3 linked regions of the Macaca fascicularis genome follow. The protein of the gene in region 1 purifies or fractionates together with the protein of each later gene. This does not show direct contact. Links are inferred from orthologs where the notes say so. Each region holds a gene or a part of one and is shown in the gene's direction. Other genes may lie near its edges.

The links. The genes of interacting proteins can lie anywhere in the genome.
Region 2: the proteins of SMARCA5 (region 1) and BAZ1A purify together in Homo sapiens (affinity purification with western blotting; 8 studies listed by BioGRID and IntAct, with this or other methods). This does not show direct contact. The link is inferred for Macaca fascicularis from reciprocal best matches to the Homo sapiens genes SMARCA5 and BAZ1A.
Region 3: the proteins of SMARCA5 (region 1) and CHRAC1 fractionate together in Homo sapiens (co-fractionation; 5 studies listed by BioGRID and IntAct, with this or other methods). This does not show direct contact. The link is inferred for Macaca fascicularis from reciprocal best matches to the Homo sapiens genes SMARCA5 and CHRAC1.

Annotation. Positions count from the first base shown.
Region 1 is NC_088379.1:148,647,443-148,652,375, forward strand, and holds part of SMARCA5 (SWI/SNF-related matrix-associated actin-dependent regulator of chromatin subfamily A member 5), read left to right. Parts: intron 1-2,061; coding exon 2,062-2,183; intron 2,184-2,255; coding exon 2,256-2,408; intron 2,409-3,803; coding exon 3,804-3,936; intron 3,937-4,933. UniProt on the Homo sapiens protein: ATPase that possesses intrinsic ATP-dependent nucleosome-remodeling activity.
Region 2 is NC_088381.1:102,594,061-102,598,993, reverse strand, and holds part of BAZ1A (bromodomain adjacent to zinc finger domain protein 1A), read left to right. Parts: intron 1-1,450; coding exon 1,451-1,575; intron 1,576-4,933. UniProt on the Homo sapiens protein: Regulatory subunit of the ATP-dependent ACF-1 and ACF-5 ISWI chromatin remodeling complexes, which form ordered nucleosome arrays on chromatin and slide edge- and center-positioned histone octamers away from their original location on the DNA template to facilitate access to DNA during DNA-templated processes such as DNA replication, transcription, and repair.
Region 3 is NC_088382.1:150,114,231-150,118,388, forward strand, and holds the end of CHRAC1 (chromatin accessibility complex protein 1), read left to right. Parts: intron 1-795; coding exon 796-922; intron 923-1,547; coding exon 1,548-1,669; 3' UTR 1,670-3,122; downstream 3,123-4,158. UniProt on the Homo sapiens protein: Forms a complex with DNA polymerase epsilon subunit POLE3 and binds naked DNA, which is then incorporated into chromatin, aided by the nucleosome remodeling activity of ISWI/SNF2H and ACF1.

The DNA of each region.
Region 1 (4,933 bases):
GAGCTCTAACCCCCACTCCTGATTTTAGGCCTTAAGTCTCTTAGAAGGTAAGCAATAGTTAGAGCAACCATACTCCCTTGATTTTGGAAAGAGTTTACACTTTATATATACTTCCCTAGAAATTACAGCTTTCTGTCATAAAATGTGAAGATTGCACCTCCCTCCCACACATGGTTCCCAGATCCATTGTTAGACAGTGGTGGTGTGTTCATGATATTGTTTTTTAATTATTTATGTGGGGTTTTAATTAGGTACCATGTACATGGACCTGAAACATTTTTATCTATAGTATGTTGACTTTTTATATGAAAAGGGGTATGTCGGCCGGGCGCGGTGGCTCAAGCCTGTAATCCCAGCACTTTGGGAGGCCGAGACGAGTGGATCACGAGGTCAGGAGATCGAGACCATCCTGGCTAACATGGTGAAACCCCGTCTCTACTAAAAAAAATACAAAAAAAAAAAAAAAACTAGCCGGGCGAGGTGGCGGGCGCCTGTAGTCCCAGCTACTCGGGAGGCTGAGGCAGGAGAATGGCGTAAACCCGGGAGGCGGAGCTTGCAGTGAGCTGAGATCGGGCCACTGCACTCCAGCCTGGGCGACAGAGCAACACTCCGTCTCAAAAAAAAAAAAAAAAAAAGAAAAGGGGTATGTCTGTGGTGTGTGTTTGGGTATATTTAAATTACACGAATGTAGAAAGAACTTAGAAGCCAGCTTCCAATTTTAACTAATAAAAAATGTTTTTAGTCTACTATACTTTTCCTCCTCCCAGATTATTTGAAGCAAACGCCAGACACTATAGCATTTCATAAATTATTATCTGTCTCTTAAAGATAAGAAATATCACTGATACAGTATTAAGTATACAGATTCAAGTTTGTTTGTTTCTCTCTGTATTTTAATAAGAATGACAGTTGTACCAGTAGATGAATCTCCTCTATGATACTATCAAAAGCATATTGTAAGAGTTGTCAGTGAATGGGTTTACTTTTTCCTTTTTATACCTTTTTTGTAGAGATAGATTTTTAAAAAATGCTTTCCTTGAAAGCAAAGTAATTAAAGGAATTGAATTGGTGGAGAGGAGTGGCAGGAACTTGGTGGGAATATTCAGATATTAATGTAAAGTATATTAAACTCTGCAAGGAAAATGGAGACTATTAAATGTTCTCATGTTGCAGTACTTTTTGGAAGGCTGAGGTGGGCAGATCATTTTAGGTCAGGAGTTCAAGACCAGCCTGGCCAACATGGTGAAACTCCATCTCTACCAAAAATACAAAAAATTTAGCTGGGCGTGGTGGCATGCACCTGTAGTCCCAGTTACTTGGGAGGCTGAGGCAGATGAATCACTTGAACCTGGGAGGCAGAACTGAGATGGCGCCACTGCACTCCAGCCTGGGTGTCAGAGCGAGACTCCGTCTCAAAAAAAAAAAAAAATATTCTTACACATTTGAGGTGCAGGAACGTGTGACAACAGCAGATTGTCAGCCTCCACTTATAAGACGGGATCATTTCATAATCATTACTTTTCAAAATGATCCTTTGTCTTGATGCATTCTACTGAAAGTATTATGTAGTTGCCTAAAGAAGTGGAAGGCAGTCAGATAGTTTGAATCACGTCAGATAAGTGAAGGATAGTCATTGTAGATATATGAGGTACATATTATGGTCCTTTGATCTGGAATGGGTCTTCAGAACCAGGTTGAAACCTGGAGTATTAGGTGTGTGTTGGGGGTTTGGGGAGTCATACGCATTGAAGAGGAGTTGTGGAGTAGTGGAAGGTTATTTTTAAACATACGTGAGGTAACAAGATAATGATTATCTTACCCTTTGAGATGGGAAAGCCTTCCAGACCAGAGGCAAATATGCTTTTCTGTACAAATGTTATCCTTTTTTATTTGTGCCATGGTGAGAAAAAAGTGGGAAATGACTGACTGGGATGATAATGTGTAGATTTTTTTGCCCCCTTGTAACCAAGTAGGTAACTTTGGAATTATAATTGGTTAGTCTTACTTTTGGTTACCCTTAAATTTTTCTACTTTTGAATATATTAATATATTCACTAACAGGTTCACGAGTATTAATCTTCAGTCAAATGACAAGGGTATTGGACATTTTGGAAGATTATTGCATGTGGAGAAATTATGAGTACTGCAGGTTGGATGGTCAGACGCCCCATGATGAGAGACAAGTGAGTAAAATTTGGGGAGGGAGATAAAAAAGAATCATAAATTTTTTGACAATCATTTTATTTTATCCGTAGGACTCCATCAATGCATACAATGAACCAAACAGCACAAAGTTTGTTTTCATGTTAAGCACACGTGCTGGTGGTCTTGGCATCAATCTTGCGACTGCTGATGTAGTAATTTTGTATGATTCTGATTGGAATCCCCAAGTAGATCTTCAGGCTATGGTAAGAGATAACAAATAAATGTATTCTGTGCTTAGTAGATGAATTAGTTAGGGTGAGGTAATTCTTCAGATACCAGTGACTTAACCCAATAGAATTTTATTTTTCTCCAATCCAGTGGTTCAGTGAGAGTATATTGAGTTGATGTTCCATCTAAATAAGGGTATTTCCATCTCAGAGATCTGCCATATCTTAGGACCCTGGAGTCCTCTGCTATATCCTCTGCATCCTATTGGCAGAAGGGGGAAAGGATAGAGTTGGGGATTTTCCAGGAAATTTATGGGTCAGACCTTGAAAGAGCCTCCTTGTCTCTCCACCCTCTTGATCAGACAATTGGACAGAACTCATCATGTAGCATAACTGACTGCAAGGGGATTGGTAAATTATATTGTTGTTGTATCATAGGACGAAAGAGAATTGAGTTTGATGAGCAACTAGCCTGTCTGCCACTTTAGATATTTAAAAGATACACCTGTGTGAAAGTACCAGTCAGATCAGGAATATTATTTTTAGATTGAGAGAATTGATACTGCAGATTGGCCTGACCCGTGATACTGGTGACCATAAACCCAACTGTAATTAGTCACTTTCTTTCTTTCTTTTTTTTTTTTTTGAGACAGAGTCTCACTCTGTTGCCCAGGCTGGAGCACAAGGTCCGCCTTCCGGGTTCACACTGTTCTCCTGCCTCAGTCTTCCAAGTAGCTGGGATTACAGGTGTGCACCACCACGCCTGGCTAATTTTGTATTTTTATTAGAGATAGGGTTTCACCATGTTGGTCAGGCTGGTCTTGAACTCCTCACCTTCAGGTGATCCCCCCACCTCGGCCTTCGAAAGTGCTGGGATTACAGGAGTGAGCTACTGTGCCCAGCCCGTTAGTCACTTTCATCTTGTGCTCTTACTAAGGTTGACTGGGGAAAATTGTCCGATTATTAGAAATAAAGGAGTTTTTTAGGAATGTAGTTAGCAAAAGTGAAACAGAAATTCCTATTCAAACTAGTTTGACTACTTGTATTTAGTTAATTGGGTAATATTTAAAGATTAGAATTTTTATGTTTGATAAGTTCATTGTTTCATGTCACTTTTTTGCCTGATACAGTAACAATTTGGGTTTGATATAGATAGAAAAACATTTTGAATTTAAACCTAGGGAAAAAGACTTAAAATCTTTTCTCATCAGACTTAAAAATTATAATTTTGTATATTGTTTGGAGACATTGTGTGTGTTTTATCTCTGTAACCTAGCAGAATTCATCTGATTCTTACAGATTCATTGTTACTACAAATTTTTAAAAGTTTTATACTTCAGAATATTTTAATTTTGTTTCTCAATGTACCCATTTCAGTGTTATTTATGTGACTTTTAAACTCAATTCAAAATAACATGGTAATTTATTTAGGACCGAGCACATAGAATTGGACAGACCAAGACAGTCAGGGTGTTCCGCTTTATAACTGATAACACTGTAGAAGAAAGAATAGTAGAACGTGCTGAGATGAAACTCAGACTGGATTCAATAGTCATTCAACAAGGTAAGCCATGGAACTTTAAAACTTTACCAAGCTGGATTGACACAACCTGTTTTTGTTTGAACATCGTCTTAGAAGATTCTTGTTACTAAGCATCCATTGAGTCAAGCTTGCAGCCAGTAGAGATTACTTGTATTGCAAATACAGTAAACTTTAGTTTTGTCCTTAAGATTTATTTGGGCTCAGGACAATTGAGTTTTGAATAATGACTCTGCCAGTTAGCAGTTCTCTCTCGTTACATGAACCCATTTCCTCATCTGTTAAGTGGGGATAAAAATACACTTAAGGATTTTAAAGGATTAAAGGGGATAATGTATATAAGATATCTGATATTCAGTGTGGTGGTTAATGATTTATATGTACTAATTACTCTTGATTACTGTGGGGAATACTGAAGAAATAAAAATCAAAGAGCCTGATTTTATTCTTTTTTCTTGTCTGCAACTTATTGAGTACCCACCAGATGCTAGGCACTGTTCTTGGTGTTGAGAATTCAGTGGTAAATGGAACATTCAAGTATTCTTACTTTAAAAGAGTTTACAATTTAGTTGGGAGGGCAGATGAAGTAAACAAGGTATAAGTAGGAGTAGGGGGTGAGAGTGGGATTTTATTTTGAATCGATTGAAGGAAACTTAAGTTCTCATTCCAGATCAACTTTTAAGGATGACATAGTTTATGTTTTCATGAAACTTACTGTAAAGTTGATGATGGGAAATATAAAATTCAAGAAAAGGGGTGGGAAACTTAATAACTTCAAATGTTCATTAGTTTCCTTTGTAACTGCATTGTGAGCATATATTTACTATCTGTCTAAAAAGCTGAAAGGCATATTGTTACATTGTTTACTGATTATGTAGGTGTCTTGATTTTGTCAGTCTCTTATTTCCATGTAAGAGAGTATTTTTCATGTCTTTGGTATCCCTAATGCTATTGCATACCTAAAGACAATAAATTATTGCTTATTTTTACAAATTGTTTCCGTTAATAAAGTGTTTACTTT
Region 2 (4,933 bases), on another chromosome or scaffold:
GCGCACTGGCTCACGCCTGTAATCCCAGCACTTTGGAAGGCTGAGGCGGGCGGATCACCTGATGTCAGGAGTTTGAGACCAACCTGGCCAACATGGTGAAACCCTGTCTCTACTAAAAATACAAAAAATTAGCCAGGCATGGTGGCACACACCTGTACAGGCAGGAGAATTGCTTGAGCCCTGGAGGCGGAGGTTGCAGTGAGCCGAGATTGTGCTCCAGCCTGGGCAGCAGAGTGAGATTCTATCTCAAAGCAGCTAGTGACAAAAGACCATATGTTATATGACTCCATTTACACGAAATGTCCAGAATAAGCAAATCAGTAGAGAGTAGATGTATGGTTGCCAGGGGCAGCAAGAAAGAGGAAATGGGAAATGACTACTAATGGATATGGCATTTCCTTTTGGTATGATGAAAGTATTCTGGAATTGACAGTGGTAATGATTGTGTAACCTTGTGAATACACTAAAGACCACTAAATTATACACTTTAAAATGGTGATTGTTATGGTATATAAGCTCAGTATATAAGAAAAGTAACATTGTATGGCTTTCACATCTTCATATTTTTTAAATATTCATTCAGCCCCATTCATTTACATTATCCCTGGCTCTCCTTACATTAGAGCTTGCAAAACCCAACTTTGGATTTAGAACATAATGGTGTAATTTATTTCAAGGTTCATATAATTTTAGTTTTAATTTGGATAACATAATGAATTAAACAGCTGTGTTGTGTTCATTCTGCCTGTTTACTATTTCTGAATTTCTCTCTTCCACTATTTGTCATCTTCTCTCCTTCCTACTCTAAGCCACCATCACCGCCTAGCCAGCCACCTAGACCACTACTGATCTATTACTATTATTACTGGCCCCTCATCTACTTTCTTTCCCAGGTAATTTTTCACACAGTGGCTACAGTACTTTCTAATACCATTTCCCTTTCTAAATTCTTCTGGTTTTTTTCCTATTGTTTTTTGGATAAGGCCTTACAAGGCCTAGCCTAATCTCACCCTGCCTTTTTCTCTCATCTGCCTCTTGGATTACTGCTTTCTCCGTTACACTTTTCTCAAAATTATAAGCTCCTCCTGTTTCTCTTGAGTTCTGTTCCATTGTGTATGTTATTCCTCTGTAGCACACACTCCTCCCCATCTCCCTGGTCTCAAATTGTAAAATGTCACTTCTTCAAGCCAGCCTTTTTGATCCCTAAGAGTCAGTTTCATTCTCCTTGAAATGTTTTCATAATACCTTGAACTGCTCTTGTTTTAGTACTTATTACATATTTTTTAAATGATTTGTGTAATTATCTGTTTTCTCTGAAAGACCATAAACTGTGTCATGTTGTTCACTACCTCCTAAGCCTATGCCCGGGACTTCGTAAGCAAGCAATAAATATTTCATAAATGGAATTATATATTCATTAGTAAATGTCATCCTTGTTTTTATCCTTAAGGGAGGAAGAAAGGGAAGATTTTGATACTAGCACTGAGAGCAAAGACACAGAGCAAAAGGAATTAGATCAAGATATGGTCACAGAAGATGAAGATGACCCAGGATCACATAAAAGAGGCAGAAGGGGTAATACTGAAATTCCTTAAGAGCATTCTTGTTTGTTTGTTTTTAACTGATAAAGCACTTTATTAATTCAGCTCCTCTGAAATATATTGATTGCTTTCGTTCGTGATTCCAGGCTGTGTTTTTTTTTTTAAATGCCCACCTCTTAGCTGTGATGAGTTGTAAAATGTGTTATGAAGTCCTATTAGTACATTTATGATTGGGTCATTATTTACACATCATCTATACTTAAGAAAAAAGAGATAATATTCCTATGTCTTTAATAGGACAGTTTCTGATAACTTTAACTTTTGGTTAGTCAGCAAGTTGCATTGAATTTATTTACTACTTTATTTGGGCCAAATAGAAATTTGCATTCTATAATGTACTCATTCAGCATGCATTGGATGCCTCCTATATACTAGAGATATAAAGATCAATAATGCTCATAATTTGTATCATATTGATGAAAGTGGAACTCTCTCCTACCTTAAAATTATTTCATAAATTGCTAGATCAAAGCGAATACATCTTTTAAAAGCTGTTAATACAAATTTCTTTTGAGGATCCTTAACCAACCTTATTTAATGACTATCAAAAGAAATCCTTAAGTTAATTCTGTGCCTGTAATTTGGATGGGATCTTTTTTCTGTATTTTTTTCTAAATGGTTACTCTAAGTAGATGGAAAATTTCCTTTATCATGGAAGCTGTATTGTCTGATTACAATGCAATTGATTTCAAAATCTAAAGCAAACCTAATATGATTAGAGTTTTAAAACAGACTTCTAAATATTGGGTCAAAAGATAAACTATAATGGAAACTAAAAAATATTTAAAATGAATCAAACTAAAGATTACTGAATATTAACGCTTGTTGAATACAGTCCCTCTACTTAGGGGAAAATGTATACCTTTAATACATATTAGAAAAGAAGAAACACAAACTCAGCTAGACATTTATTTAAGAAGATGGTGGGAGAAAAAGAATAATCCCCCTAAGTCTGAAGGAAATAATACATCAGAGTAGAAATTAATAGAAAATAAAAATATAGTAGGGCCAGGTGCAGTGGCTCACACCTGTAATCCCAGCACTCTGGGAGGCCAAGATAGGTGGATTGCTTAAGCCCAGGAGTTCAAAATCGGCCTTGGCAACATGGTGAAACCCCATCACTACAAAAAGTACCCAAAAAGCAAGCTGGGCATGGTGGCATGCACCTGTAGTCCCAGCTACTCAGTAGGCTAAGGTGGGAGGGTCGCTTGAGCCTGGGAGATCAAGGCTGCAGTGAGCCCTGATTGTGCCACTGCACTCCAACCTGGGCAACAGAGGAAGACCCTTTCTTAAAAAAATAAAAATGTAGTAAAGAACAGTAACAAATCTAAAAGCGTGTTCTTCTGAGAAAGACAAACGAGACAAACCTTTGTTGAAACTGATTTTTATATAGATGGCGATCATAAAGTTAGGACTGAAAGGGAGCAACATTAACTATGGATAGAGTAGAAACTTAAAGATGAGGAGATAATACACAATTTTTTGATGCATTTGAAAATATATGCAAAAATAAAATCCTAGAAAAATACAAATTATCAAAATGGATTTATGAAGAAATTTGTTAATGTAGATGGTCTTAAACGATTAAAGAACTTGAATCAGTACTAAAATCTTTCTGCAGAGAAAACATCAGTCCTAGACAACTTTATAGGTGAATTCTGCCAAATTTTTAAAAAAGCAGATAATTCCAGTCTTACACAAACTCTTTCAAGCAAAAGAAATAGAATGAAAAAATACTTCCCAACTATCAAAGCAATTTGACAGCAACTGAAACAACAGAGAAATTTAATTCCAACATATTTTCATAGTCAAGGCAGATTATCAGGGGTCCAAGCTCTTTCTGTCTTGTTGGTACTGCCATCCTTAGGGTTTTGCTGCCATTCTCATGTTCCAAAATGATTTATCACCATGTCTGCATTCTAGCTAGTTGGAAGTGGGAAGGAGGAAAGGGAAGCACAGTCCAGAGGGTACACACAATGCTTCTGATCCCATCTCTTTGAACAAAAGTTTTTTGTTTGGTTGTGCCTACTCTGGGAAATGTCCTTCTTTTGGGTTGCTAAGTGCCCAGCTGAAAACTAGTGGTTCTGTTACCTTCAACCAGTGGTTAGTAAATAACAGTTTGTATGCCAAATCTGGCCGGCCTCATTTTTGTTGTTGTTGTTTTTTGAGGTGGAGTCTCGCTCTGTCACCCAGGCTGGGGTGCAGTGGTGCCATCTCGGCTCACTGCAACCTCCACCTTCTGGGTTCAAGCGATTCTTCTGCCTCAGCCTCCCGAGTAGCTGGGATTATAGGTGCATGTCACCACACCTGGTTGATTTTTGTATTTTTAGTAGTGATGTGTTTTGTCATGTTGGCCAGGCTGGTTTCAAACTCCTGCCCTCAAGTGATCCAGCCACCTCGGCCTCCCAAAGTGTTGGGATTACAGATGTGAGCCACTGTGCCCGACCCGGCCCTGCCCTGCCCTGTTTTTGTATAACTCATAAGCTAAAAAGGCTTTTCCCCCTTTTTTGGAGACAGAGTCTCACTCTATCCCCCAGGCTGGAGTATAGTGGCATGATCTTGGCTCACTGCAACCTCCACCTCCTGGGTTCAAGCGATTCTCATGCCTCCGCCTCCTGAGTAGCTGGGATTACAAGTGCTTGCTACCACGCCCAGCTAATTTCTGTATTTTTAGTAGAGATGGGATTTCACCATGTTGGCCAGGCTGGTCAAGAACTCCTGACGTCAGGTGATCCGCCCACCTTGGCCTCCCAAAGTTCTGGGATTTACAGGCGTGAGCCACTGCGCCGGCTGGATTTTTACAATTTAAATGACTGGAAAAAAGAAGAATGATACTTTGTGATAAGTGAAAATTATATGAAATTCAGATTTCACTGTCCATAAATAGTTATATTGAACCACAGCCATGCTGATTGTCTACATGTTGCCTGTGATTGCTTTGGGGCCACAACAGTGGAATTGAATAGCTGTGAAGACCAAAAGATCCACAAAGACAAATATTTATAAGCTGGTCTTCTCCAGAAGTAGTTTGCTGTTATTCCTCCCTTAGAGGAAGGACTGGGATGACTACTGGAGGATAACTAACATACTCTACTGCACTCTCCAGTATGGAAATTACAGATTTTTTGTGCCCCTTTAGATTTAAGTATATTGATTTCTTAATAACATAGAGTATTAGTCTGCTTGGGCTGCCATAACGAAATACCCCACACTGGGGTGCCTTAAACAACAGAAATTTCAGAAATTTGTTTTCTCACAGTTCTGGAGTCTGGAAGTCCAAGATCAAGCAGGGTTAGTGTCTGAAGAGGCTTTTTCTTGGCTTGCAGACAGTG
Region 3 (4,158 bases), on another chromosome or scaffold:
TTCTCCTGCCTCAGCCTACCCAGTAGGTGGGACTACGGGCGTCCGCCACCATGCCCAGCTAATTTTGATTTCGTATTTTTAGTAGAGACGGGGTTTCACCGTGTTAGCCAGGATGGTCTCGATTTCCTGACCTTGTGATCCACCCGCCTCGGCCTCCCAAAGTGCTGGGATTACAGGTGTGAGCCAGCACTGCTGGCCGCTTCTTTTTTTACTCTAGAGGTTGGCCATTAAACAGTTATGATTAATCTTTTTCATAAGTTAGACATCTAAAGCCTCTGGAAAATGCCTGCTTCTCTGCCAGTTTTGATACCGGCTTTGCTTTCTTTCTGACCTCATGTTTTTCTTTTCCCCAGTGATTGATTTCTTTCTTTTCTTTTTTTTTTTTTTTTGAGACGGAGTCTCGCCCAGGCTAGAGTGCTGCAACCTCCAACCTCCACTTCCCAGGTTCAAGCGATTCTCCTGCCTCAGCCTCTCAAGTGGCTGGGATTACAGGCACCTGCCACCATGCCCAGCTAATTTTTTATTTTTAATAGAGATGGGGTTTCACCATGTTGGCCAGTGTGATCTCAAACTCCTGACCTCAACTGATCCGACTGCCTCAGCCTTCCAAAGTGTTGAGCCACCACACCCGGCCTCCGCAGTGATTTCTTGTAATTTAAGAAACCAAGATAATCTGAAGTCTTAATGTAATTTTAAGCCTGATAATAAGGTATCAGCAATGTAATTTTACAAAATTAAGCTCTGTGGTACATTTTCAAAGCACACCTTTTATTTTCCTTTTTCATTTTGTTTTAGGAGCTCTTTGTTCAATGCCTAGCCACCTATTCCTACAGACACGGCAGTGGAAAGGAAAAGAAAGTACTGACTTACAGTGATTTAGCAAACACTGCACAGGAATCAGAAACTTTTCAGTTTCTTGCAGGTACTTAGTCTTTGAAACATTCTGGTTAAAAAATGATTAGTAATCAATAGCTCTTTCCCCACCCCTTGCCTCCCTTCTGCTTTCATGGAATTAGACTTTTTGCTACTCTTTGCAGGCCGCAAAGTGCTATGAGCTGTCACAGGAAGATACTTTTAGTCTTCTCTGTTTGAATGTGTGTGTTATGTGGTCCACCTAGAACAACAGTGAAGCCAACAGCATTCAGAAGATGTTGGTTGGCCGCCTGTGCTGGGCAGTCCTTTACAGGGACCCTTCCTGCCATTGAAGGGAAAACTCAGGGTGGGTCCACATGCCCATAGTTAGAGCTTAAGTCTGCCCTGGGGCTAGCCTAGCCTATCTCAGGTAATCGGGCAGGGTTGCTTATAAAAGCAGCTCATAGAGACACCATGGTTTGTACTCAGTGGAATAATGGAAAGAGGCCTATAGCATTTGTTAGGAGACAATGCTAGTTTCTGTGATATTTTACCCAGAAATGTAGCCTGAATTTCATCTATGTTTTGGAACCTCTTGTAGAGGTCAAAGCAGGAACTAGTACATTTTGAAATGTGCATTGCTGTGTTCATAGTCTACCATAACCAATTGCTGATGTAAGCTTTATGTTTTTAAGATATATTACCAAAGAAGATATTAGCTAGTAAATACCTGAAAATGCTTAAAGAGGAAAAGAGGGAAGAAGATGAGGAGAATGACAATGATAATGAAAGTGACCATGATGAAGCTGAATCCTAAACCAAAAGAGTGCTTTAAAAACCAGCCTGGCGAGGACTGCCCTGGACCCGCTCCACTGTCTATAAGTAAACACAGCACTGCCCGCTTTTAGCGTCTTCACTTCCTCACAGACTTCCAGTGCGTGATATTCTTTCGAGGTATTCTTTCCAGGCCAAGATTGAGCGCCTCATGCACCTGCGCCACAAACAGCCAGAGGGAAAGTGACCCAGACAGCAGTCCCTCCTTGACAGGCCCACCCTGCAGCTCAGGCACCAAGAAAGCAGCCGATGCTGGCAGCCATTGCAGCTCCAAACTGCAGAGGCAAGGCCAATTTTAACTTTTCAATTTACAGTCGATTTTGAAGAACTTCTATGTATCAGTTATGTAAATTCATGTATGTATATTTTGGAATCAGTTCTTATAAACAGCTCGATTCAGTTTTAGCTAAATAGATAGTTTATAGGTCGTATGTTATATTTGAATTTTTGTCTTAAGTTGACTGTTCAGATATTTTTCTACTGTAAAGAAACATACTTTTCTATTAAAGATCTGTACATGTTTTTACAGTAAAATGCTTTATGGAACTAGTTCTAGAGCCCTCTGTGGCTTTAAGGCCTTGCTTACTGCCTGCAAATTTTGAGAAACTTAAAAATAAGCATTCTAACACTTATTCCCACAGAAAAATTCCAAGTCAAATTATCAAATCAAATACAAAAATAAGTCTTACCTCTTGTATAAGCATATTGTACTAAAAAAAAGTTTTGAAACATTTTGTATATTGAAGATCTCTCTCATCTTACTGTTCTTTGCTTTCAATTCCTGGCACTTATTTTTACTGTCTCTAAGAGAAAACCTATCATAAGCCTTTTTTTTTTTTTTAAACCCCACATAGGGTAAATATTTGGTTCCTCTCATTTCATTATCTTTTTTTTTTTTTTTTTTAAAGACAGATTCTTACTCTGTCGCCCAGGCTGGAGTGCAGTGGCGCTATCTCGGCTCACTGCAACTTCCACCTCCCAGGTTCAAGTGATTCTCCTGCCTTATCCTCCCGAGTAGCTGGGATTACAGGCGTGTGCCACCACGCCCAACCTATTTTTGTATTTTTAGTAGAGATGGGGTTCACCATGTTGGCCAGGCTGGTCTCAAACTCCTGACTTCGGGAGTGATCTGCCCGCCTCAGCCTCCCAAAGTGCTGGGATTACAGGCGTGAGCCACCATGCCTGGCCTTCATTATCTCTTTTTTAAAAATAAAAAAGTTTATAATTTACATTCAGTAAAATCACCCTTTTTAGTGTCTAGGCTGTGAATTTTGACAAATGCATAGTTTTGTAACCAATCGATAGGACAGTTCTATCACCCAGGACATTCCCCTGTTCCCTGTACTTAGTCTCTTCTCCTGCACCCTGGCAACTACTGGTGTTTTCTGTCCCTCTTGTTCATTAGCATTTATTTTAAAATAAAATATTTTTAAAAATACTTTTTGGTGTAGAGTTCTGAGTTTTGGCAAATGCAGTCAAGTCACCACCACCACCACCACAATTAACAACTACATCACCCTCTAGAAAATTCCCTTGTGGCCAACTCCTTCCCCACCTTTTACTAAACTAGCAACTGTCAAGCTATTCTGTGTGCCTATAGCAGGTGTCAGCAAATTTTTTTCTGGAAAGGGCCATGCAGTAAATAGTTCAAGCTTTGTGGGCTTTTATAGTCTCTGTTGCTGCTGCTAAACTCAGCTGTTGTAGTACGAAAGCAGCCAGGTAATTAATATATGAAGGAATGCAGGCGGCTGTGTTTCAATCGAGCTTTATTTCTGCAAACTGAAACTTGAATTTTGTGTAATTTTCATGTGTCATGAAATACTATTTTCTCCAACCATTTAATAATGTAAATACTTGTTAGCTTATATGCCATTAAAAAATGGCTGGATTTGGCTTCCAGACCACAGTTTGCTGACCTGTCTTTTCCAGAATGTCATATAAATGGAATCATTCAGTATGTAGCATTTGAGTCTGCAGTTTTGCTGTTTAGCAGAATGCATTTGAGATTCATCTGTGTTGTCACAGGTATCAGCAGTCCATTCCTTTATATTGCTGAGTAGGATTCCATTGTATGGATGTAACTGTTTATCCATTTTCCAGGTATATAGATGGTTTCTAGTTTTGGTGATTGTAATTTTTTTTTTTTTTTTTTTTTTTTGACAGGGTCTCACTCTGTCACCCAGGCTGGAGTGCAGTGGCATGATCATGGCTTACTGCAACTTCCACCTCCTGGGTTCAAGTGGTTGTGTGTCAACCTCCTGAGTAGCTAGGATTACAGGCGTGGCATCACCACACTTAGCTCATTTTTTTGTGCTTTTAGTAGAGGTGGAGTTTCACCATGTTGGCCAGGGTGGTCTCTACTCCTGACATCAAATGATCCGCCCACCTCCGCCTCCCAGTGATGGGATTATAGGCATAAGCCACCACACCTGGCCTTGATGACTACAATTAATAAAGCCCTGTAAGTATTTG